2 linked regions of the Danio rerio genome follow. The protein of the gene in region 1 interacts with the protein of each later gene in a pairwise test. Links are inferred from orthologs where the notes say so. Each region holds a gene or a part of one and is shown on either strand. Other genes may lie near its edges.

Region 1 (13,083 bases):
TGTCGTCTCCAAAATTGAGCCTCTGTTCCTTCGCCAGGTTATAGGCTGGAAATGATTCAAAGAGCAATTTAATCACAGACATTGTATGATGTCTAGACATTCTGTAGGGCATTTTAGAGATTTTGTGCCAATAATGTTTACTTATTTTATATACTATTAATGACTAATATATTGACCAAAAGAAAATCAACATTATTAGAGAATAGATTAATTTAATGAAAGAACTTTCACCCAAAAATTACAGTTCTGTCATCATTTACTCACCCTTTACTTGTTCAAAACATGTCAGAGTTTCTTTTTTCTGTACAGAAAGGAAGATTTTTTAAAGAAGGCTGGAACCCTGGAACCATTTGACTTCAATTAGTTTTGTTTTCTACTATGGAAGTCAATGGTTACAGGTTTGCAACATTTTTCAAAATATCTTCTTTAGTGTTCAACAGAATAAAAAAACTCCTGAAGTTTAAATTTTGGGGTGAACTATCCCATTAAATGAAGATAATTTGAAGAAAGCTGAAGAGCACTGACTTTCATATTAAAAAACAAGTTCTATGGAAGTCAATGGTTACAGGTTTTCAACATTTTTCAAAATATCTCCTTTTGTGTTCCATAAAATAAAGAATTTCATAAAGCTTTAAAAGATTGAAAAAAGGGTGAGCAGTGCTTCATTTGTGAATTGCGAGGTCCCAGAACAGATCGGGGTAACAGATCCGTCATGTTACCTCAGGATGTAGAGGTGCCACACACAAAAGTTTGGCACAGACTAAATTGAAGGAGGGGGTGGGTAAGATGGCGGGGCGTTGGATGGTGGAGGGGGGGGGGGTGTGTTTAAGATAGCGGGGCGTTGGATGGCAGAGGGGTGTCGCTGACGAAAGTGGAGAGGGTTGAGGAGTCGCGAAAGAAAGTGAAAGTGAACAGCGGATGAGGGCGGTTGAGGAGGGGGATCAGTAAAATGAGGTGCCAGATCAGATTTCAGAGGTATCCGGAATGTTTACTTTAAGCTAAATATTAGTATTTTTAACAATATCTAGTCAAATATTATTTGCTGTCATCATGACAAAGATGAAATAAATCAGTTATTAGAAATGAGTTATTAAAACTATTATGATTAGAAATGCGTGTATAATCCGCTCAGTGTGTACCTCTTTGTAAGTTGCCGATGGCTTCTTCGTAATTCTCCAGCTCCAGCTGACATTGGCCCAGAAAAAAGTGCGCCTTCACCGATTGGCTGTCGAGCTCGAGGGCGTGTTTACAGTCGGCCAGTGCCTTGTCGTACTGCTGTAGCTTGACGTAGCATAGCGCTCTGTTAGTGTAGTACACGGCCACTGATGGGTTACGATTCTACACAAACAAGCAGAGACACGTTTAATACAACACACAAGATCATACAGAACAACTCATGAGCAACTCCAGCATTATGGATGTGACATCTGGAGTACAAACTTGAAACTGAAAATTCACAGAGAATGTTTATGTTAATATTAAATCGAAATAGCAGTTAATATTTGTGACTAAACACAGAGTTAATCATAAAATATTAATCTGTAAGTGTGTTTTATACTTTAAATGAGAGAAACAAACATGCGTTATGGATGTGACCAAAACATTATGTGGATTTATAGCTTTTTAAATGTAATATATAAGTGCAGTATGTAAGTTTGACACCCAGTGGTGAAACTAGGTATTGCACCCCTTGATCAAAACAAACGCAAGCACAGGTTGCCAGATTGTACAGAAACCCGGAAGGGACGTAGTTGAGGAGAAAAAATTGGCTGGGAGAAAAAAATAATGGGTGAAAAAAAAATATGGTTGGGAGGAAAATATATATTTCTACGTTTTTGCGTTCCCTCGCGAAGATGTTTTGCGTTCTCTCGCAAAACTGTTTCTCCACAAACACTTCCTGTTCACTTCACTCACGTAAACCCACCCGTTTTAGCTGAAATTCTCCCATATTTTACCATTCTATCCCAATTTCTTTAATATGCAATATATATGCAACCTCTGAAGCAGTGAAAGCATGTATAAGCGCTGACTGACAGACGCGCTCCGTACAATAAACTGATCCCAGCTCAGCGTCTGTACACGCCATTTAAAGTGACACCTGTTATCAAACAAGTGAGCAGCAAATGAATCTCATGTTTTGTTTTGTTTGATAACAGAGGTGTCTCTGTAAGAATGCACAGATCAATAATGAAGCATTCCATTACTTTAGAAACTGTTTACGCTCATTTAAGAGAAAATAAGCTTTAGTTTTAAAATAAAACATGCAGGACGGAGATGTTTACATATTATTGAGTGTATTTGTCTGTTTAAACATACACCCGCTCCTCTGTAAATGGCGTATACAGAAGTATACATATTAAACATTATTATTAAACAGCACTAAATATTTGATGTTTTTATACAATAATTAACTTCTGAATTTATTTACAGTTGAGGGCAGATTTCTTCACCCTCTGGTGAATTATTTTTCCTTTTTTAATTATTTGCCAATGATGTTGAACAGATTCAGGAATTTTTCACAGTATTTTATTTGTTTTATTTTGGCTAGAATAAAAGCATTTAATAATTGTTTTAAACCATTTAATAGTCAATATTATTAGCCCCCCTATGCAATGTTAGTTTGGATTGTCTCCAGAACAAACCACTGTTATATTATGACTTGCCTAATGACCCTAACTTCACCCTAATTAACCTAGTAAAGCCTTTAAATGTCACTTTAAGCTGAATACTAGTGTCTTCAAGAATATCTAGTCTAATATTATGTGCTGTCATCATGGCAAAGAGAAAATAAATCAGTTATTAGAAAGGAGTTATTATAAATATTATGTTTAGAAATGTGTCCTTTAAACAGAAATTGGGGAAAAACTATTTACCAGAAGGTTTAATAATTCTGAACTTTCTGTGAGTCTGAATTTCTCCTAAACCCCCCGCTGTTGAAACTGACACACATATTTACTCTGTGTGTTCCCAGCACCCCTCACTCACGATGGCTTTGCTGTAGCAGGTGACGGCCTCCTGGTACTTGCGGCTGAGGAACAGGCGGTTTCCCTGCTCCTTCAGCTCCTGTGCGGATGAGCTTTTCTCTGGGCTGCTCGCCATCTTCTCCATGGGCTCTGCGGTGGCCGCTCCCCCCTGCTTCCCAATCCTGTTCCCCGTCTCTTCGGTGAGCACCGGCCGGTCCCGGGGAGCCAGTTACCTGCAAACCTCTCAGAAACACACAAGGAAAATATGAGCCACAGTAATGCAGGTGCAAAATCATAACAATATTCTTATGGGGTCAATTTTATTAGCCACCATAAGAATATACATTCAAAACAGTTTGTTAGAAACAATGATATGCTTTGCGTGTTTGTTTTTATGTTTATATAAGTGCTATTTTCATTTATAGCTCTTGATTTTTGCATTGATTTTTAATATCTCTTGTTTAAATACACTATGAACAGCAGCTACGCTAATTATTTTCTTTATTTTCTATTTCCACCTGGGGATACTCATCCCGAGGCCTCTAGAGATTGTGCAGCGCCATTGATGTGATCCAAGACCTGTGAAGAAATGATGCCAACCGCAGAGCACTTCTAGAGGTCTCCATAATCCTGGACCAGGCCGTATCCTGAGCAGATATCAGGGCCGGAGTGGGACTCATTTTCAGCCCTGGAGTTTCAAGCCAGACCAGCCCACCTCGACTGATTACATTAAAATAAGGTCATTTCCAATTCAGTTTCTAATGACACTATCACATCTTTTTTGAGAAAACAGCTGCTTTAGAAATTCAAATGTTCAACAACCCTTACAGTATTATGTCATAAAAACGAAAAATAATAATAATAATTTTTCAGGTGAGATTCGAACATGGGTCGGAAGTTTCGCAACGCAACGTGCTTTCCACTGGACCACAATGGCGCTATTCCAGTGGGAATAAAAAATAAAGATTACACTGTGAACGGCAAGACATAGTATTACTTTGATGGCTAAATCATTTTCTCCTTTTAGATTTCTGATCAAGTTTTGTCAGATTTAATGTAGTAAATCATCTGATTTTCATTGAGCAGGTGTATTATTCATTAATATTAATTATTCAAATTCTTATAATCACTAAGGTGCCACTGTTTGGGGTCGAATGATTAGTTACATCATCATTAACGTTAGTAAACCTGCAGGCTGCATTTTGCTCACGGAGCAGCAAGAAAAAAAATAAATAAAAAGAGCGGCGCTGCGGCAAAATAATGAAAAACAAAAAAAAAGAGTGAGGCTATGGTCAAATTAATAAATAAATAAATGAAAAAAGTGTGACTGCTGAGAGTGCAAGCAGCTAGGGACACTGGCCCTCACGGCCAAAAAACGGACCGACCCACCAGGAATTCTCTCGGTTCGCCAATCCGGGCCTGGCAGATATTGTGGTTGTCATGGAGGAGCTGAGAGCATAAGACTGATGCCTGAATCACCCCAGTGACAAACAAGTCCTCACATTTATCAAGTGGGCCAGCCTGAACACACGCCGGTGACCTACTCACACTTGCATCTTCTCCACGATGGACATCCAGCGTTCTCCAGCCTCCGGCGCCTAGACTGCTTTTCTGCAGTTTGGTCAGAGGAGAAATGGTCGTGCCCAACAGAGCCGGTTTCTCTCCAGGTTTTTTCCTTCACTTCAATCACGTCAATTGGTGAAGATTGTTCCTTCGCTGTTGCCACTGGCTTGCTTGGTTTGGGAATTGTGGAGCTGCGCATCGATGGATTTGCTCTTCAGTGTTTGAACTCTCAGTATTGAATATTAAACCACACTGAACTAATCTAAACTGAACTCCAACTCTGAAAACTGGACTGACAGTTTACACTATCACTATATCACTATAATCTTCTATGTTAAGCTGCTTTAACACAATCTGCATTGTAAAAGCGCTACAGAAATCAAGATATTTTTCAATTAGCTACAGAACAAACCATCATTATACAATGACTTGCCTAGTTAACATAATTAAGCCTTTAAATGCTGAATACAAGTATCTTGCAAAAACTTGCACGACCCTCAATTGGTACTAATGGACCCAAAGTGTGCTAAAAAAATCTCCCCCACACCAATACACCACCACCACCAGCTTAAACCGCTGACACAAGGAAGGATGGATTCATGCTTTTATGCTGTTGACGTCAAATTCTGACCCGAGCATCTGAATGTGTCAGCAGAAATGGAGACTCATCAGAGCAGGCAACGTTTCTCCAATCTTCTATTGTCCAGTTTTGGTGAGTCTGTGTGAATTGTAGCCTCAGTTTCCTGTTCTTAGCTGACAGGAGCGGCACCCGGTGTGCTCTTCTGCTGCTGTAGCCCATCCGCCTCAAGGTTGGACGTGTTGTGTGTTCAGAGATGCTCTTCTGCAGACCTTGGTTGTAACGAGTGCTTATTTGAGTTTCTGTTGCCTTTCTATCAGCTGGAACCAGTCTGGCCATTCTCCTCTGACCTCTGGCATCAACAAGGCATTTGTGCTCACAGAACTGCCGCTCACTGGATATTTCCACTTTGTCGGAGAATTCTCTGTAAACCCTAGAAATGGTTGTGCGTGAAAATCCCAGTAGATCAGCAGTTTCTGAAATACTTAGACCAGCATGTCTGTTATCAACATCCATGCCACGTTCAAAGTCACTCAAATCCCCTTACTTCCTCATTCTGATGCTCGGTTTGACCTGCAGCAGATCGTCTTGACCATGTCTACATGCCTAAATGCATTAAGCTCCTGTCGGTGAGTGTATACTCTACATTTTTCTGATTTTGATTGAAATGTATTAACGTGCACCTTTTGTAGAGCTGCTGTTCATATAGTAGAAATGATTAAAATGAATTGTTTAATGTACATCACACACACACACACACACATCTGGACAACAGTAACACACATCTGGACACTGACAGTTGTGTGAAATCATTCATGACTCTTTATGCAGCTCTGTGAACTTAAAACACACACAATCCAACAGTTAATCACTAAAATTAAGCACTACCAACGAGTAAATGTAATTTCACGTCGATCAGAAATTAAACTCCTGTGCCTGACACATAAGCACATTCACACACACTTTACAAGCTAACAACCAGGTCAGCGCTGAGAATAAACACGCTTAGAGATTAAATCAGATGGTTTGAATATGAAATATGGATTATTTGAGGCGTACCGGGTTTGACTGCTGGACTGACGCCTGTCGTTAGCAAACCGGTAGCGACACTGGTGCTTTGATGATCACTTTTGGATCCCTGATAGCGAATGAAACGCGGCCAAACTCATATTCCGACTCGATCATGACATTAAGATGACAAATGTCCGACGTTTTCATCGGCGATCCTCAAAAACACGACATTTTACCCGCGGGTGTGAGACGCTAGCATCATGTTTCGGTTGTTTTGACTCTGCCGTCACTGTGACGTCGCCGGAGGTGACGATCGGAAGCTCGTTGCCAACGTAATAACGCCACCTGTCGGCGACGTGCAGGAGTTTAATTTCATAATAATAATAATTAGATAAAATATATAAATAAATATGAAAACAGTTATAATAATAATGCTTGATTATTATCATTATTTATTCTACATTTTACACGTTTTTTTCCGGTTACACATTTTAAAAAGTGTTCTAGAAAAGCATGTAATAAAAATATAAATAACTGACTTAATTTCTACTTCAGCATATAATTTTGAGCTTTCTAATGACTTTTAATTCTTATGACTTTAATACCTTATTTATAATTTTGACCTTTAAGTAACAGAGTAAGCCATAATTGCTCATTTTTTATTAAGAATTACAAAAAAAGTCTTAATTTCTTCTTTAAATATTTTTTTTCATGTAGTTATAGAATTTAGCTATATAATTTAATATAAAAATACATCAAATGTCTTTAATTCTCCTGTAAAAATGTGCATTTTGTATTTAATTTTTGTTTAGAGACATTTTAGAGTCACCCTAAAAAGCTGCATCATATTTTAGGTGCAAAACAATGAGTTTGCTAAAATGATGTGAATAATTTAATAATAAACATACTCAAATTCAGATTGCAATATAATTTCTTGCTGAACACCAAACACATTCAGAAAAATAATATATTAACATTAAAGAACAGTAAAAGAGTCACCAAACACCATTTCAGTTCATAAACCATATAATGCACTTAAATGAGGACAACATGAACAGTCGACAAGTAAGACAAGTAGAAAAAATACATGAATCAAAATGTGAATAATTATGATGATAATATATAATTCATTAGTGTTATCATCATTTTTACTCTACATTTTAGTTTTTTTGTGATTATTAATTTTAAAACTTTAAAAATGTTCAAGATAATGTGCTTTCTTATCACTTCTAATTTTGATTTAGGTATAACATTTCTTTTTTTTAATACCCTATTTATAATTTTGACCTTTAAATAACTCAGAGTAAGCCATAATTGCTCATTTTAATTAACATTTATGAAGAATGCCGTCATTTCTTCTTTAAATTTTTTTTTCATGTAATTACATAATTTAGTCATAGACTTTATTATAAAAATAAGTCAAATGTCTCTAATTCTTCTGTAAAAATGTGAATTTTGTATTCAGTTTTTGTTTAGAGATATTTTAAAGTCCCCCCAAAATAGCTGCATCATATTTTAGGTGCAAAACAATGAGTTTGCTGAAAATGATGTGAATAATAATAAATGTACTCAAATTCATGTTGTAATGTTATTTCCTGCTGAACACCAAACACATTCAGATAAATAATATATTAACATTAAGAAACAGTAAAAGAGCCCTCATTCACCAAACACCATTTCAGTTCATAAACCATATAATGCACTTTAATGAGGACAACATGAACAGTCGACAAGTAGAAAAGTATATGTAAACAAATGTGAATAATTATAATACATAATTCATTAGTTTTATCATTAATTACTCTACATTTGCAGTTTCTTTGTGATGATTAATTTAATAACTAAAAATGTTCAAGATATTGTGCAATGATTTAATTTCTACTTAAGCTAATCGTACTTTTGAGTTTTTGTATGATTTTAAGTATGACATTTCTATTTTTTACCTTTTAATTTGACCTTTAAATAACTCATAAGACTTAATTGCTCATTTTTAAATTAATAATTACAAAAAATGCCATAATTTCTTCCTTTAACATTATTTTTTTTATGTAACTACATAATTTAGCCATGGACAGTAATATAAAAATACATCAAATGTCTCTAATTCTCCTAGAAAAACGTGAAATTTAGTCTTTCTCATATGTACAATTACACAAAACTTCCAAAATCAGCCTGAATTTTGTTTTTAGTTTCATGAAGAATAAAAAAAAGTTCGTTTTTTGCATCATATTGTAGGTGCAAAAAAAAAAAACATGTGAATTTTTTCTAAATGCAATTAAATTCATTTATTAATTTTCATTCGCTTTTTCAGGGTCAGCAGTCTTAGGACAGAACCCCAGACACTTCCTCCAGCTCCACCGGAGGATCCTGAGGCACTCTCAGCCCAGCAGAGACACATAGTTCCTCCAGCGTGTCCCCCAAGGTCTCCTCCCCGTGGGACATGCCTGGAACACCTCTCTAGGTAGGCATCCGAAACAGGTGCCCGAGCCACCTCAGCCGACTTCTCTGGATGTGGAAGAGCAGCGGCTCTACTCCGAGCTCCTCACCCCGTCTATGAGGATGCGCCCTGCCACCCTGTGAAGAAGACTCATTTCGGCCACTTGTATCCAAGATCTTGTTCTTTCAGTCATCACCCAAAGCTCATGACCATAGCTGAGAGCAGGATTGTAGATTCATCGGTAAATCGAGAGCTTTGCCTTTTGGCTCAGCTCCTTCTTCACCACAACCGGCCAACACATTGACCGCATTACAGCTGCACCAATCCTCCTGTCAATCTCACACTCCATCCTTCCCTCACTCCTGAACAAAACCCTGAGATACTTGAACTCCTCCACCAGGGGTAAGGACTTTCCTCCATCCTCGAGATGGAATCAAACTCATGTTGCAATATGTCATTTCTATATTAATACCAAACAGATTCAGGTAAATGACACACCTTTCACAACAGCAAGAGCCCCCATTCACAACAAACACCACTTCAATTCATAAAACCATTTAATGCACTTTAATAAGGAGGACATGAAATCAAAACGGCATTATAAAAGATCATGTACATAATAAATCTGAAGCAACACTTCAAGAACACGCTTGTTCAGATTTCGTCATCTCCTACAGCTCTCTCTCTCTCTCTCTATGGGGAAAACAATGGAGCTAGATTTAAAGGAAGGGGCGTTTAAACTGACCTCAGAACAGCTTTCAGAACAAAAACAACATGCACACATTCCCTCAGAACAAACCAAATCTACATTCCAGAAGTAAACGGCGACGGACATCATGACGGGGCAAAAAAAACGGCAGTAGACGTTTGTTTAAAAGAAATAAACAGAACTCAAAGCTACACCTTTCATTTCAGCACAGTGGATGAGACGGGTGCAGCGCTCACTGGACTGAGATATTAAAGACTACAAGGACTGTGATGGAGGAGGACGTGGGCAGTTTACTATGGACGAGGCAAACATGATGGATATAAAAGTGGGGATATGCATGTATGTATGGGTCTGGGTGTTCGCTATGGTAACGTGAGATGATTCAGATCTCTCCGGCCTCTCTGTCGTCATGGCGACGAGATTCTGTCCGGCCGTTCAGCCCGTCTGATCTCCGCTCGGATGAGCTGCGCTTGGTGTCCCTCTCGCGATCACGGTCTCGTGAAGACCTGAAGACACACAGGAATCAGCTTAGTTCAACATAAGAGTTTGCTATTTATTTAAAGCATCAGTTCACTGTCAGGATAAAAAAATGTCTTCAGGTTTGGCATGAATATGCAAATTTTACATAAAATTCAAATGAGATTTTAAAAAGAGGGCGGAGCTACAAATCAGGGATTCAAAAATGATCGTGCCTCTTCACAGACAGTACACTTAAATCTTTCCAAGAAATTTAAAATCAATATGATATACCACAATCCAATGGTTTTAAATACCTTGAGCTGAGTCATTTCATTAAATCTTTGTCTGAAATGGGTAAACTGACATTTGAACTTGCAGCCATGGAGCAAATTGTATCAAACAGTTTTGCCAAGGGGCTAATTTCCAAAATATATAAAGTTCTGTCAAACTCATGTACTTCTTCCTTTGAGTTTGAAGTGTGTGTGGGAAAAAGACTAGGGTCACTAAATTAAAGACACGGATTGGTCTGAAATATGCACCAACTTGTATTCTAAATGTACTTCATTGGGTGTTCAAGAGCTCAATTATAAATTCATTAACAGAGTTTATCTCACACCCTTGCGTCTGAAAAAGATTTATAGAAACTCCTCTGATCTTTGTTGTAACTGCAGAAAAGGCAAAGGAACATTCCTTCACTGTTTTTGGGATTGTGACAAAATCATCTCTTTTTGGAGGAAAACACATCATTTTCTTTTTCTCTTTCAGATAAAGTTCTGTTTTTCTCTAGAATTGTATTTGTTGTATGATGTAGTAGAGAATGTGCCAGACCCCCACACCAAACACCTGTTTTAAATTTTGGTCTAACTGGCAAAGAAATGTATACTTTTATTGTGGTCATCTCCTCAGGTGCCTTCCTTTGAAATGTGGTTGTCTCAAGTATGTGCGTTATTTCCACTTGAAAAACTCACTTATGATGCACATCAAAAGTCAGATAGATGACTTCTGGCAGCTATAGACACCTTTTTGGCATTACATCAATAATCTCACCTGATTTTCTACTCTATGGTATATATATATTTATATATATATATATATATTTTTTTTTTTTTATATCCAGACTGTCTATCCTGACTGTACTACCATGTTTACTTGTTTGTATATCTCCCCATTTTTTTTTTTTACTTTCCCACTGCATGACTGAGACTGTGTTTATGTGCTTATGTATCAAAACAACCGATGACTAAAAAAAATTAAATAAAAAATAAAAACATCAGTGATGTTACTTTTTTTTGTTTGTTAATTTTTTAAAGAGTTTTAGTCATCAAGGTTGGTGCTGGTAAAAAAAAAATCTAGTAAATGTAAATAAATGATGATTTTTTTGACAAAAATAAAAAATAAATAAAGGGGGCGGGGCTACAAATGCCTGTGTGTCAGCATAGTGGCAGATTCAAAACAAGACTGACTTCCTTTGCTAATGAGGGAGAGAAGGGCACTAGTGGGCGGGGCTTTCCCCCTCTGATGACACATACAAATGGAGATTGTTAAAGTCTTTCTGCAGACTGTAGAAAAAATAAAAAAATTTTACTAGTAAAGGCTGGCTATATTCACACAATGCTGCCACACAACTGGGTTTAAACCTCCTATAAAAAGTGATTTTTGCATTATACGCCCCCTATAAGTAAATGTCCATCCGCGAATCTAAAACATTTAAAAAATAAAGTGTATTATTTCTCTAGTGCTCTTTCTGTTCTATGTAATGTTATCGTTTATTTTCCTATGCTAAAACAATATAAAACATATATAACATTTTAATATGTATATTAAAAAAAGAAATCAAGCATTACTTGTGTGACTGTTCTCTGCTGTGGCGTGAGCGGGATCTGGATCGGGATCGGTGTCGTCGGCGTCTGTCACGCTCTTTGGATCTAGAGCGAGAACGGCGTTTCTCTCGTGAAGCGGAGCGGGAACGCCGGCGTCTGCGCTCTCGATCACGCTCACGGGAACGAGACCTATAAAAAGAAGAAACAGACAACCTTATATTTGCATAAAACCTTTATTTTATAATAAATCTCTTTGCAATGGCGTATATGCACAGTCTACCGACAAACCTCCAGTAAAAGGTTCATTTCATGAGGTTCCTTTAACAGCATGAATGTTGTAAAAGTAATTAAACTATAATCAGTTAAACAGACTTAAGCATTGATTTAGTTACACATTCAAGGGTAAAATAAGATAAAAGATAATATATGTGGAGTAGAGTACAGTGGAGGAAATAAGTATTGAACACGTCACCATTTTTCTCAGAAAAACATGTCTAAAGGTGCTGTTGACATGAAATTTTCACCAGATGTTGTTAACCACCAAAGAAATCCAAATATGCAACAAAAACTAATCTAATTAAAAAAAATGAAATGACAAAGGGAAAAGCTTTGAACACATGAAGGAAGGAAGGTATAAAAAGGCAGGGTAAGCCCAGACAGCAGCTGAAATCTCTCAGTAGTATTTCAGTAACCCTCTGCCCTTCCTCAGTGTAAATGAATATCAGCTGCTTCAGTTCAACATCTACATCAGCAGGAGGATGAAGATGAAGCCAAGACGGACATTTCGGCAAGACAATGATCCAAAACACAGCCAAGGAAACTCAAATGCTTTCAGAGAAAAAAAAAATTTCAACCTGGAGAATGGCCCAGCCAATGGCCTGAAGTAAAGCTCAGAGTTGATAGACAAGACCCACCGAAGCATCAAGATTGACACTTTGAGGTCTGTGAGAAACTCACACCTGAGCAATGCATGTGAATTCATTCTCCAAATGAGGTGCGTTTAAGCTGTCATTATTTAAAAAAAAAAAAAAAGCCTTTGACATAAAGTGCTAAATACATTTCAGTCATTTAGTGCTCTCCTCGTGTCAGTGTTATTACACAGAATTCCCCCCCCCCCCCCCCTATATTAACTGAACATTACTGGATTAATACTGACCTCTTGCGATCTCGACTGCGTGATCTTGTCCTACAGAGAAAACCAGACAAACATGGTTATTTTGGTCAATACTGAGAATTTTCAAACCATGTATATTTATACTCAAACCATGTTACACACTCAAACAATTCCCTTTTTAACAACGGATTTCTTTGAGCTGAAAACACTTTAAAAGTTCATAGAAAATAAAACGTTGTTTAAATTCTTCAACTTAAAGAGATAGTTGAAATGTTAGACTTCCATGATACATTTTGTTCCTACTATGGGTGTCAATGGCTGCCTTTTATCAACATTCCACAGAATATCTGCTGTTGTGTTCAGAAGCATAAAAGTTTACAACCACATGAGTGAGTAAATGGTAAGAAAAAAGTGAACTGTCCCTTAAAGC
Region 2 (13,084 bases), on another chromosome or scaffold:
TAAAATCTGATCGTTTAAATGATGCACGCGCCTGTTGCACTTTACTGCCGTGTGCGTTCATGTCTGCTGTGAGGAAAAAAAAAAAACCATACATGCAAATCATACTTCCCGCATGGCTATCAAACGATCGCTCTGTGCAGAAAACTGAACTTTATGTACAACTTCATTACCTGTTATTCACATTCTATACAGGTTCTGTTCACTAAAGTAGCCATGGCGTGCACGCGCGCGTCCTCTCTGAGGTAAACAAACAGTGCGTCAGCTCACGTGTGATTTTGCGGCTGCGAATACATCATTACATTAAGACAGAAATGACATTTTAGGGTGAATTATACACTTAAATTTGTTAAGTGACACGTTTAACACCATTTGGAGGTGTACATGTTGCCTAGCAGCATATGTATAACAATAAAAAGACTTGTGCAACTCACCTTTATGCTTCTCTCATGCTCTTGAAAATATAATTGGCTGAATCGTAGAAAAGCTGAATTAAGATTGTAGGATCGATTCAAGATCTCAATCCTTTTTTTGATAAATCGTGCAGCCATTGCAGCGGTCACACTGGACTTTTCTCCACATAGACTTCCATTCATACGCATGTGAATGCGTCAGACCGGAAACACAAGCTACTGTAGTGCAACAAGTTTCACAGTTCGCTGCGTTGGAAAGCTAAAGCTTGGTAAACTCTGACCCGCGAAATCACATCACATGATTGCGTGAGACCAATAAAAGATTAAAACATGACCTCTCAGTACAGAAATTTAATACATGGACCATTTGCTTGCTTTTTTAAATGTCTAATCCCTCTTTTCGAAGTGCCATACAACAGAATTTCACACGCACAAACTCTAGTGCAGGGGTGGGCAAACTCGTGCCTGGAGGGCCAGTGTCCTGCACAGTTTAGCTCCAACCCTAATCAAACACACCTGCTTATAGATTTATTGTGATCTTAAAGACACTGATTAGCATGTTCAGGTGTGTTTGACTAGTGTTGGAACAAAACTCTGCAGGGACACTGGCCCTCGAGGATCAAGTTTGCCCACCCCTGCTCTAATGTGACCGCAGCATCACCTGTAGGTCTCCAACAAGCCTGAAGGACTTAGTTTGATCAGGTGAGCTTAATTAGGCTTAATTAGGGTTGAAACTAAACTGTGAAAAGAGCTGCGGCCCTCCAGGAACTGGAATTGACACCTGTGGCCTAGACAATATAGTTTTCCAACTTAATTCAGTTTAAGTTTTGTGCTTATGTCAGTGCAGTTAAATATATAATTTTACTGGTTATCAGGAGACATCTCAAACTGTTCCTGGAGGGTCAATGTCCAGTAGAATTTTGTTCAATCACACAAGACTAAAAGGCTCCTATTGAATCTGAAGGCCTTTGGTGTATACAAAATCAGAGCAGGTTCTGTATTTCAATATAAACTTACTTCTTGAGCGCTAAAAATGTTTGCTCTAGATTATTTGTAGTATGAATAAAATGCAGACGGGCGACACAGTGGCTCAGTGGTTAGCACCGTCACCTCACTGCAAGAAGGTTGCTGGTGGGTTTCCCCCGGGTGCTCCGGTTTCCCCACATTGCAAAGACGTGCAAAGACGTGACAAAATTAAATTGGCCATGGTGTAAGTGTGTGAATGTGTATGGATGATTCCTCCTAGTACTAGGTTGCAGCTGTAAGGGCATCCACTGTGTAAAACATATACTGGATAAGTTGGCAGTTATTCTGCTGTGGTAACCCCAGATGAATAAAGGGACTAAGCCGAAGGAAAATGAATGAATGAAATGCAGACATATTCCACTCAACGCATTATTCAGAAACTCAGCCAGAAGTAGTAGGTCAACCAGGTATTTACCAACTAAATTTTTCATATGTTCATATTTGCTGTTTTTGACATACTCTATCCGCTTGTTAAGTGTGATGCCACACAAATCAGATTTTTGGTCCAAGCACTTTATCAAACTGGATAGGGAAGACTCAACAAATGGTAATAATAAACGTTGACAAAGTGATTAAAAAAAAAAAAAAAAAAAAAAATATATATATATATATATATATATATATATATATATATATATATATATATATATATATATATATATATATATATATATATATATATATATATATATATATATATATAAATTTTTTTCATTTTTGAATATTTTCCAAATTATGTTTCCCAAATTTTATCAATATGTCTGATAAGATTTTTTCTTCTGGAGAAAGTCTTATTTGTTTTATTTCAGCTAGAATAAAGCAGTTTTTATTTTTTTAACGCCATTTTAAGGACAAACTTATTAGCCCCTTTAGATATTTTTTCGATTGACTGCAGAACAAACCATCATTATACAATAACTTGCCTAGTTACCCTAACCTGCCTAGTAACCTAATTAACCCAATTAAGTCTTTAAATGTTTCAATATTCACTGTCATCATGGCAAAGGTAAAATAAATTTTTTATAGAGATGAGTTATTAAAACTATTATGTTTAGAAATGAGTTGAAATAATCTTCTGTCAGTTAAACAGAAACTTGAGAAAAAAATAAACAGAGGGGCTAATAATTCAAGTGGGTTAATAATTTTGACTTCAATTGTATATAAACTAACACAGAACAAGTGGACACAATACAATATGTAAAAAACTGAAAAAAGTCCACAAAAAATTAACAAATGAACCATATATATATATATATATATATATATATATATATATATATATATATATATATATATATATATATATTTTTTTTTTTTTTTTTTTTTTTTTTTCCATTCATTTTTTTTTCAGTTTAGTGCCTTTATTAATGTGGGGTCGCCACAGCGGAATGAACTGCCAACTTATCCAGCACATTTTTACGCAGCGGATGCCCTTCTTGCCACAACCCATCTCTGGAAAATATCCACACAAACTCATTCACATTCATACACAACCGACAATTTAGCCTTCCCAATTCACCTATACCAAATGTCTTTGGACTGTGGGGGAAACCGGTGCACCCGGAGGAAACCCACACGAACGCAGGGAGAACATGCAGACTCCACACGGAAACGCCAACTGAACTAGGCGAACAAGTGACCTTCTTGCTGTGAGGCGACAGCACTACCTACTACCGACATCTAAATGTGCTGCCTACTTTTTGAATGGGAGGTAGGACAATCTGACAAGGTATGACAAATCAACAGAACACCGGAAACAGTATTCCATACGTCACAACTTAACAAGCGGATATTTAAGTGCTTTCATTTGGATTAAAGCTAAACTTTGCAGGACAGTGACCTCCTATAGGGACAGCCCTACTTTAACATGGAAGAATATTCAGAAAATTCATTTAGATTCATGCACTCATCAAACTGAATCCAATTCAATCGCGAGCTGCTAAACCACAGCAGATAAAAGAAGAAAAAACAAAGAAGTGTGTTTTGACTACAAATAGCCCCCGTTGCAACACCTTCATGATAAAGCCTCTCTCTCCACCTTCATCACCTAAAATTTCCCTAGATTGTCTACAACAATAAAGGCGCTTTGTAAACACCCACATTCATTCTTTTTTTTTCCCCTCCACTCTCGCAGCAGGCTCTGAAAGGCCGGCTCTGGGGACTAGCCTTTTACAGGCGAGTTGAAAAAAAAAAAAAAAGTGGGTGCTTTACACACTCTGGCACACTTCCTGAAGCTGCTGCAACTACCAACTAACTGCAATTTCAGCAAATTGTAACATATCCAAGTTGGATGGGCACTTCCTGCTAGTTCACTGTCATTATGAGATATGAGCCGAGGGATTCTGCTCCTCAAATAAGAACTGCAGCTGGGTTTATTAAGACTAAATGAGAGATTCTCGTGACACTTTCAGATACTACAGGCTTCTTTTGTTTCCAGTCACATTCAGATGAATTCTCTGGGTTTTACAAGACAAATAGATAGCTGTTTGTCAGCATTGCAGATTTTGATCTTGACCCAGTGCTGAAAAAGACCCCTTTGGGATAGCATACAGATTAATAATGATGCCGAGAACAGGCTGACAAAGAAAACATTTCTCTCTTAAACTCTTTAGCAATGTCAGATGCTGTTGTTTAGGGGTTTTTAATATTCTAGATGACCTAGATGTCCAAAAATGATCATCCTGCACTCTCAGAAATAAAGGTACAGACGCTGTCACTGGGGCAGTACTTTTTCAAAAGGTACATATTGATACCTAAAGGTTCCATAATGGTCCCTCAAAGGTACTTTTTTAGGTACATTTGGGCACTAATATGCGCCTTTACTGTAAATTCTTTGGGTACAAATATGTATCTTTTGAAAAGGTACTGCCCCAGTGACAGCTCCTGTACCTTGATTTCTGAGAGTGTGGTGTGAAAGACCCCCATCTTAATATATAAAAAGCATCTATCTATCTATCTATCTATCTATCTATCTATCTATCTATCTATCTATCTATCTATCTATCTATCTATCTATCTATCTATCTATCTATCTATCTATCTATCTATCTATCTATCCATCCATCCATCCATCCATCCAACCACCCACCCACCCACCCATCCATCCATCCATCCATCCATCCAATTTAAGTAGTTATTATTATTAATCTAAGTTTATTTTTTATATTTTATTATGTACATTTTAGCTTTAATTCTATGTTTATTAATTTATTTAGATCTTACATTAATTTAAATTATTCATAAAAAATTCAGTGTGTTTTTCCCAAACATTTCCATAGCACTTTGCAGTTTAAAAGCCTTGCTTTCCTTCTCACTTTGTATCAAAATATTTTAGTGTCATATTAGTGGATTAATAATTTAATATGTGTTTTAGACTAGTTTTAAAAATTAGCAATCGGTACATACAGCATGAACTGTTACACTGCCTTTATATTACAACTTAAGGTATTTAATGGCTGTTTTTAAAGGCTACTTCTGTACTTACTGCAGAAAACACATCTTCATTTGGATGACAGTATAGGCTACTATAGTCTAATAATATAAACTAAAAATACACTAATGTTGAAAAATACACAAATAAATTAATAATTAAAATAATTAACTAGTATATTATGGTTGTAATAGTGTACAGAAAATAAATAATGGGAAGAAAATTGTAATTATAGTTCATTTTGTTCTGTGGAAAGGCATGCGATTTACAATACCATATTTATAAACTATTGTTTCCCAAATAACTTTTTTTTTTATTAGGAAAAAAATAAACATATAAGTTCTTATTTATTATGACGTATAAATTATTAAAACACATCTAGCAGCAAATAAAAAAAAAACGGAGTACAAAATGCATTGTTGCACATACTTTACTTTTTACTATGCATTTAGGCAACAAACAGCTAATGCTCAGTACTGTACATGTGGATGCTTACAACCGTTTAAACGCCGGAAATAAAACTGATTGAAAACTGAATCGTTTAATGTCGTCCATTCAGTATAACATAATGTTCTTACCAAAACATTTTTTCCCTTATGGATATTTACATAAAATCCAGCCAGCTTAGTTGCATTGCATCGTATTAACTCCCTCTCTCTAGACTTAGGGTGTCACTAAATGATATTATCGCATTAACATAAGAATACCTCACAAAAATGACACCGAGAGCCTTATTAGTTACTTTGCGTCCACACTCAGCCTTTCATACACCCTGTTCCTCTGACTCAGTGCTGTTTTAGCAGCCGGACTCAGACATGTCAAGTTTTTGTGTATGTGAAGTCAGTAAGACTCACCGCGGAAGGGCAGTAGCCGAGCAGGGCGAGAAAACACAGCGGTTTCAGCACCACGAACAGCGGCCGCATTCTGCCTCGAGTCTCCCGCCTACGTGTCTCTTTCAGCCCGATTCCCCGCGATGGTTCAGATGGAGCTTGTCCGTTCGCTGGGACCAGAGATTCTCGACAGAGCCGCGGAAAATGCGAGCGCTGTCATCGTCGCTCCGGGCGCAGAAAAGTTTGAGAGATGTGTGGAGACTCTCGGCGGATATTACATCATCGCTTCACTGTGGGGTTACTCTACTTATCTGCCAAACTTGATGTGTGTAATAAGTTCACGACTTGTATATACTTTAGGTAAAAGCTAAAGACTAAGGTTTAGGCTGTATGAACAAAATGTCCACTATCTCGTTCTCATAAGAAACGAATCTGACTCCTTTAACCTGTTTTATAGCATATTTTAAAGAAATTATAATAAGAATTGCAATTTAATTATTCTTTTTAAGGAGGCAAAAATAACCAACAGTACATTAACTGGTAATTACTTAACCATATGTAAAACTTTATTTTTAAATGATATAATAACAAGCATTATCACACATTTTCTAAACGCCAAATATCATCAATTATATCAATCATGTTTCTACAATGATTTTAAGATTAAAGTTTCTTGTGACAATTTCGTGACAATCAACCAAAATGAATTCACCAACATGAATTACCTCAAATAAATCAACCAAAATGAATCAACCAAAATTAATTTACCAAAATATATCAAGCAATGAAGCAAAATTAATTCACCAATATGAATCATTTATTCATGTTCTTTTCGGCTCAATCCCTTTAATAATGGGGTTGCCTCAGCAGAATGTACAGCCAACTTATCCAGCATATGTTTTACACAGCGGATCCCCTTTCAGCTGCAACCCATCTCTGGGAAATATCCATATACACTCATACACTACGGACAATGTAGCCTTTCCAATTCACCTGTACTGCATGTCTTTGGACTGTCAGGAAAACCGGAGCACCTGGAGGAACCCCACGCAAACACGGGGAGAACATGCAAACTCCACACAGAAACACCAACTGACCCAGGCGAGGCTCAAACCAGCGACGTTCTTGCTGAGAGGCGACAGCACTACCTACTGCACCACTGTGTCACCCCAGTAATATGGATCAACCAAAATGAATAAATCAAAATGAATTATTCAAAATAAATCAACCAAAATAAATTCACCAAAATTAATCATCAAAAATTAATCAACCTAAATTAATCAATCAAAATTAATCGACTAAAATTATTTTACCAAAATTAATCAACTAAAATTAATCAACTAAAATGAACTCACCAAGATTAATCAATCAAAATTAATCAACTAAAATTAATCGACTAAAATTAATCAACTAAAATTAATACACCAAAATTAATCAACCAAAATTAATCAACTAAAATGAATCAACTTAAATTAATCAACTAAAATGAATCAACCAAAATGAATTTACCAAAATTAATCAACAAAAATTAATTCACCAAAATTAATCAATCAAAGTTAATCAACTAAAATTAATCAACCAAAATTAATCAACCAAAATTAATCAACTAAAATTAATCAACTAAAATTAATACATTTAAAATTAATCAACTAAAATTAATCGACTAAAATTAATCAACTAAAATTAATACACCAAAATTAATCAACCAAAATTAATCAACCAAAATTAATCAACTAAAATGAACTCACCAAGATTAATCAATCAAAATTAATCAACTAAAATTAATTAAGTAAAATTAATCAACTAAAATTAATACACCAAAATTAATCAACCAAAATTAATCAACCAAATTAATCAACTAAAATGAATCAACTTAAATTAATCAACTAAAATGAATCAACCAAAATTAATTCACCAAAATTAATCAACAAAAATTAATTCACCAAAATTAATCAACCAAAGTTAATCAACTAAAATTAATCAACCAAAATTAATCAACCAAAATTAATCAACTAAAATTAATACATTTAAAATTAATCAACCAAAATTAATCAACTAAAATTAATCAACCAAAATTAATCAACCAAAATTAATCAACCAAAATCAATCAACCAAAATTAGTTAACCAAAAGAATCAAAGTAGGGATTTTGAATCACCAAAATGACTCAAAATAAGCGCTCATTCCATAATTAATATTGAAGTACGCATGGTATTATGTTACATTTTATGTCTAAAAAGTTTGATAGGGTTGGAAAATTCTATTGGACTTTTTTCTGTAAACTGCATTCCATCAGTGCATCTACCTGATCAAAACTAGTAACAACGTGTCTCATTAATAAACTGTTAGGCTAATATTAAACAATGGAAACTGGCAAATCTAATGCATGTTGAGTACATGTTCATCTCTGTCCTGGCTAACTTGTTGCTTTGCTGCCTAGCTTTTTGTTTACACTTGTTGTATAATTTATAGTGAAATGCGTGCCGTTTTATTGTTAAAGTAACAAAAAGTGACTGAAATTTGCCAAATAAAGTAGCCTAAATTTGTTTCTTATTTGATCAATCTGTAGCAAATGTTGGCATCACTCAACACTAAATACATTTTTAAGGTTTTCATCAGTAGTCTGTTTGGCCCACTGACTGAAAGTAGTGCAGGGAATGTACTTTGTTGCACAATATGAAAAATGGGTCAGAAAAGATCCTGTTTTCAAACCAATTTCACTCATAATATATGATGTAATATTAAACATGACTTTGGTTATTTCATAACACTGAAAATGAGACCAAATAAATGATGTATGTTTTTTTTGTATAGTATGTGCTTTATAGAATAAGAGGTTATGAATTGATGGCAGTCTAAAATAAAGCTCACAACACATTTCATTAAACAAGATATATGCTAAAATAGTCTCATCAGAAGTTAAATCATAAACCTAACCTCACCTCTGCTCACATTTTCAATTAGTTGCTTGGCAACAAGTGTGGTGCACTTATTTTAGACTGGGCTTCTCTTTATCTCTACCTATATTAAAAGAGAATGTCATTTTTTACTTTAGTGTTCATATCAGTATATGGTGAAACAATATACATAGAGACATTATTGTACAGTTAAAATATCCTGGGTTCGAATGATGTACGCAATAGAGTAGCTTGTCCTTTTTTAAATTGAGTTCACAGAATTATTCTATACTTTTTACAATATGTAATATAAGTATCAGGTTTCATACCAAAATACAGGGTTGATCATTTATTATACCATGCTGTAAAAGATTATTTTAAATGTTTTATTGTGTCTCTTTAAATGCAAATGAACAGCTGATCTTGCACCCTTTTCATATGAAGCCGTGGTTTACACTTCGTCAACCCAGTTACTTAGAACAACAAACAAAACCATCATGTGCTTTACAGTCTTGGCAGTCGAAACTCTTGGGGCTCTATTTTAACAAACCAATATACTAGTTAATAGCAACATTGTTAACATGTTAATAATAAATATTAAAACATTAACATTAAACTTTTCAATTATTTCAGACCCCTGGGGTAATTAGGTTATATTAAAGACACAGCAATACCATCAGATGCAGCACAATAGTTTTTTGGCACTATGTTAAACTTTCTAATGCCTTTATGGCACTCACGTACATCAAAAATAAATACAAGCCACAAATAAAGATGGAGGATGGTCTCTGAGTGGTTTTATCCTAATTAAATGATGAATAGACTTGGGCCTATTGATGTGTGCAAGGATTATTTATCTATAACCACCCCAGAGAATACTGAGGGTCGTGACTCGTGAGTCACTGGCATTGTTATTTTAGGGATCGCATGCTGAAAAGTTTGGGATCCCCTGGTCTAAAGCGCATGCATTTAGGTTGTGAATTTACGTTGGCAATTTTAATGATGGGAAAAAAGGTCAGTACATCCAAAAAGGTATACATGGGTTTTGATCATAACATGCGTTAAACCGATCAGAGAATTATCTCCCATTTACTTAAAGAATTGCCATTGTGCAATGATGGATTTGCTATTTATATGGCAGATTTCGTAAGCTGTGAAACAATTCACTAAGGATGAAACGTATCTGCTCATGCGTGACTACGAAACAAACTGGATTCCACAAAATCCTCTGTAGATGAAGGAGGTAGCTTTTTTATATTTACAGTTGACGTCAGAATTATTAGCCCCCTTCGAATTTTTTTCTTCTTTTTAAATATTTTCTAAATGATGTTTAACAGAGCAAGGGAATTTTCACAGTATGTCTGATGATATTTTTTCTTCTGGAGAAAGTCTTATTTGTTTTATTTTGGCAGTTTTAATTTTTTAAACACCATTTTAGGGACAAAATTATTAGCCCTTTTAAGCTATTTTTTTTATTCTCGATAGTCTACAGAACAGACCATCATTATACAATAACTTGCCTAATTCCGCTAACTTGCCTAGTTACCCTTATTAACCTATTTAAGCCTTTAAATGTCACTTTAAGTTGTATAGAAGTGTCTTGAAAAATATCTAGCAAAATATTATTTACTGTCATCATGGCAAAGGTAAAATAAATCCATTATTAGAACTGAGTTATTAAAACTACTATGTTTAGATATGTGTTGAAGAAATCTGCTCTCCATTAAATAGAAATTGGGGAAAAAATAAACAAGCGGTCTATTAATTCAGGGGGGCTAATAATTCTGACTTCAACTGTATGTAGATAATATTTTTTTACATTTTAATCCACATTTAATTTTAATTTTTGAACATATTTAATTACCTTTTCCAAGCGTGTTGCTGTGCATCCCATTGTGTGTAATAATGTCACATCCCCAGCTTGTTCCTGCTCACCCAATCAACGTTCTCCCTCACATACCACCTCCATCCAATCCAGTGAACCTTCATCAGACTACTAACGACTTGCACCTGTTCTTCATTACCCATGGACACTTTAAAGACCCATCTTCTTGGTTTTCTCGTCGGCCGGTATTCAAGTCAGATAGCTGTCTTCACCTTTGCTCCGGTGTCTTCTCACCTTTATACATAGTTGTTCCTCATGAGTCATCGAGTCCTTCATTCTGATCAAGGGAAGTGATTATTCTTATCTGATGTTTACTGGGAGATCTGCTATCACTCTGATGAACTGTGTGCCTGTGTACTCACCTACGGGTGATCTTTATCTGCTTACTGATCCTTCTCACTGATTCAGTGGAAAGCTCACTTGTGTAGTGGATACCAGAAGAATCACCACCAACTAGATGAACTGTGTATCTAAGTATTCACCTGCAGTGGTATAAGAACAAACATCTTGTGAAATCGAATGCTTACACATGAGATGTGTTTACCAGAAGATCCACTACCAACTAGATGAACTGTATACTCTCCTACTGTGTGTAAAACAAGCAAACTTCTAGTGAGATCGAATGCTACACTATTGATGCTCTCATTGCTGTATGAAGATCAAAACAGTATATACATTAACCCTTTGTATTCCCTTTGTGATTAGTGACTTTATTTTGAATAAAACATGTGAAAAGATAACCACTTCTGTCTTCTGTGTCTACCAGCGTGACAAATAAGCAATGTGTATTTTGGTATCGATAACATGCTCTTTAAAAACATGTGTATATAATAATAACCACGCTGGACACTGGTTTAAGTCCCAGCTGGACCAGTTGGTGTTTCTGTGTGGAGTTCTCCCCGTGTTTGCATGGGTTTTCTCTGGGTGTTCTGCTTACACTCACCGTCCAAATACATGCAATGAAAGTGAATTGGGTAAACAAAATGGCCTTATGAGTGTGAATGTGAGTATGGGTATTTCCCAGTACTGGGTCGTGGCTGGAGGGGCATCCGCTGTGTAAAACTTATGCTGAAATAATTGGCGGTTCATTCCGCTGTTATAACCCCTGATATATGAGCTAAGCCAAAGGAAAATGAATTAATAACCATGCCAGTGAATTTTAGACCAGAATTTCCATGGTCAAGGGCGCAAACCCTTTCAGTAGCCTCAAAATATCAATGCCCCAACATAAACCTTGACGTCTTTCCAGACCAGCATGCCCTTGAGCACAAAATTGGGTGTAAATACATTTGATATTAAAAACAACATGGCACAGGACATGAAAATAATACCTGCGCCAGGCTAAAACTAGCAAAAAACACTTGCGACACAAGTGTATGATATTGGGCCCTTCATTTACAATACACAAAAAGTGCACACAAACAGATGGCTTTCACATGGTAGTTTGCCTAAGTTCTCTTTTGCATCAGCTGTCAAATACACATAAGGTTATGTTAAAAACACAACTCAGGTTTTCCTGATGTTAGCTACAGTATGTTTGTAGATGTTAACTGGGAGGAAATTGCATGTATCAAGACATTTGATCTGTAAAACATCTCTTGAAAATACTATAAAGAGAGCACTACAAATGCAAGCCAACCAGGCAAATAGTTTTTGATGTGTACGTTCCCAGAAATAAAATACAATTTGGAGTGGGCTTTATGGCTTTGTGGATATTGTTTATGCTCTAAAAGCAACATTTGAGTAAGCATAAAGTGTAAAAAGTCTAATATTAAGCATATATTTTTACCGATTTTTATACAAGTTGATAGTATCTACAGCAACAGCACACCCCAAAGTCTTTTAAATGGTTAATCTTGTAAAGACAATGACATATAAGTTCACTTTGACAGTCTGTTGTGTCTTATTGCGGAAGCTGCAGGAGTCACCTTGGTGTTCGCAGGAGGTGCTCACCCCCTGAGCACACATCAGTTTAGCTATGTATCAAAGCTCAAAGCAGCTTGCAGACAGACATCTCAGAGACTGCCTTCACACCGCAAGCCAACATGTGTCAACAGCTAAGAAGAGAGAGAGAAAAAAATCAATAACCCTACCCCAATGAGCACTTATCTTTCTCATTACTCTCTCTGTTTACAAATGGACAGATTTTTAACACGAAGATTGACAAATGGATGAAGAATGAACTATTTAGAATGATGTACAGCCAGCTGTTATCACAAAATATAAACAGCATATTCATTCATTCATTCATTCATTCATTCATAGATTCACTCATATTCCTTCTTCGGCTTAGTCTCTGATTTATAAGGGATTACCACAGTGGAATGAACTGCCAACTATTCCAGCCTATGTTTTATTCAGCAGATGCTCTTCCAGCTGCAACCTAGTACTGAGAAACGCCCATACTTCGGACTGTGAAGGAAACAAACACACAAACATGGGGAGAACATGCAAACTTCACACAGCCGGGACTTGACCCAGCAACTTTCTTGCTGTGAGGTGACAGTGCTAACCACTGAGCCACCATGCTGCCATATACAGTATATTTTGTATTAAAAAATGTCTATTTGTATCCAATTGGGTTAACTGCCCATTTTAAACTGTCTA

The links.
Region 2: the proteins of stub1 (region 1) and olfm3b interact in binary tests that used the Homo sapiens proteins (3 or more experiments, as listed by UniProt). The two-hybrid records come from large-scale screens. The link is inferred for Danio rerio from reciprocal best matches to the Homo sapiens genes STUB1 and OLFM3.

What each region holds. Positions count from the first base shown.
Region 1 is NC_133199.1:43,366,639-43,379,721, reverse strand, and holds the start of stub1 (E3 ubiquitin-protein ligase CHIP), read right to left. Parts: upstream 6,409-13,083; 5' UTR 6,163-6,408; intron 3,207-6,162; 5' UTR 3,109-3,206; coding exon 2,986-3,108; intron 1,339-2,985; coding exon 1,140-1,338; intron 46-1,139; coding exon 1-45. Other genes in the region: luc7l (putative RNA-binding protein Luc7-like 1), read right to left, coding at 9,643-9,766, 11,564-11,728, 12,696-12,725. UniProt on the Homo sapiens protein: E3 ubiquitin-protein ligase which targets misfolded chaperone substrates towards proteasomal degradation.
Region 2 is NC_133177.1:17,717,733-17,730,816, forward strand, and holds the start of olfm3b (noelin-3), read right to left. Parts: upstream 6,140-13,084; 5' UTR 5,790-6,139; coding exon 5,721-5,789; intron 1-5,720.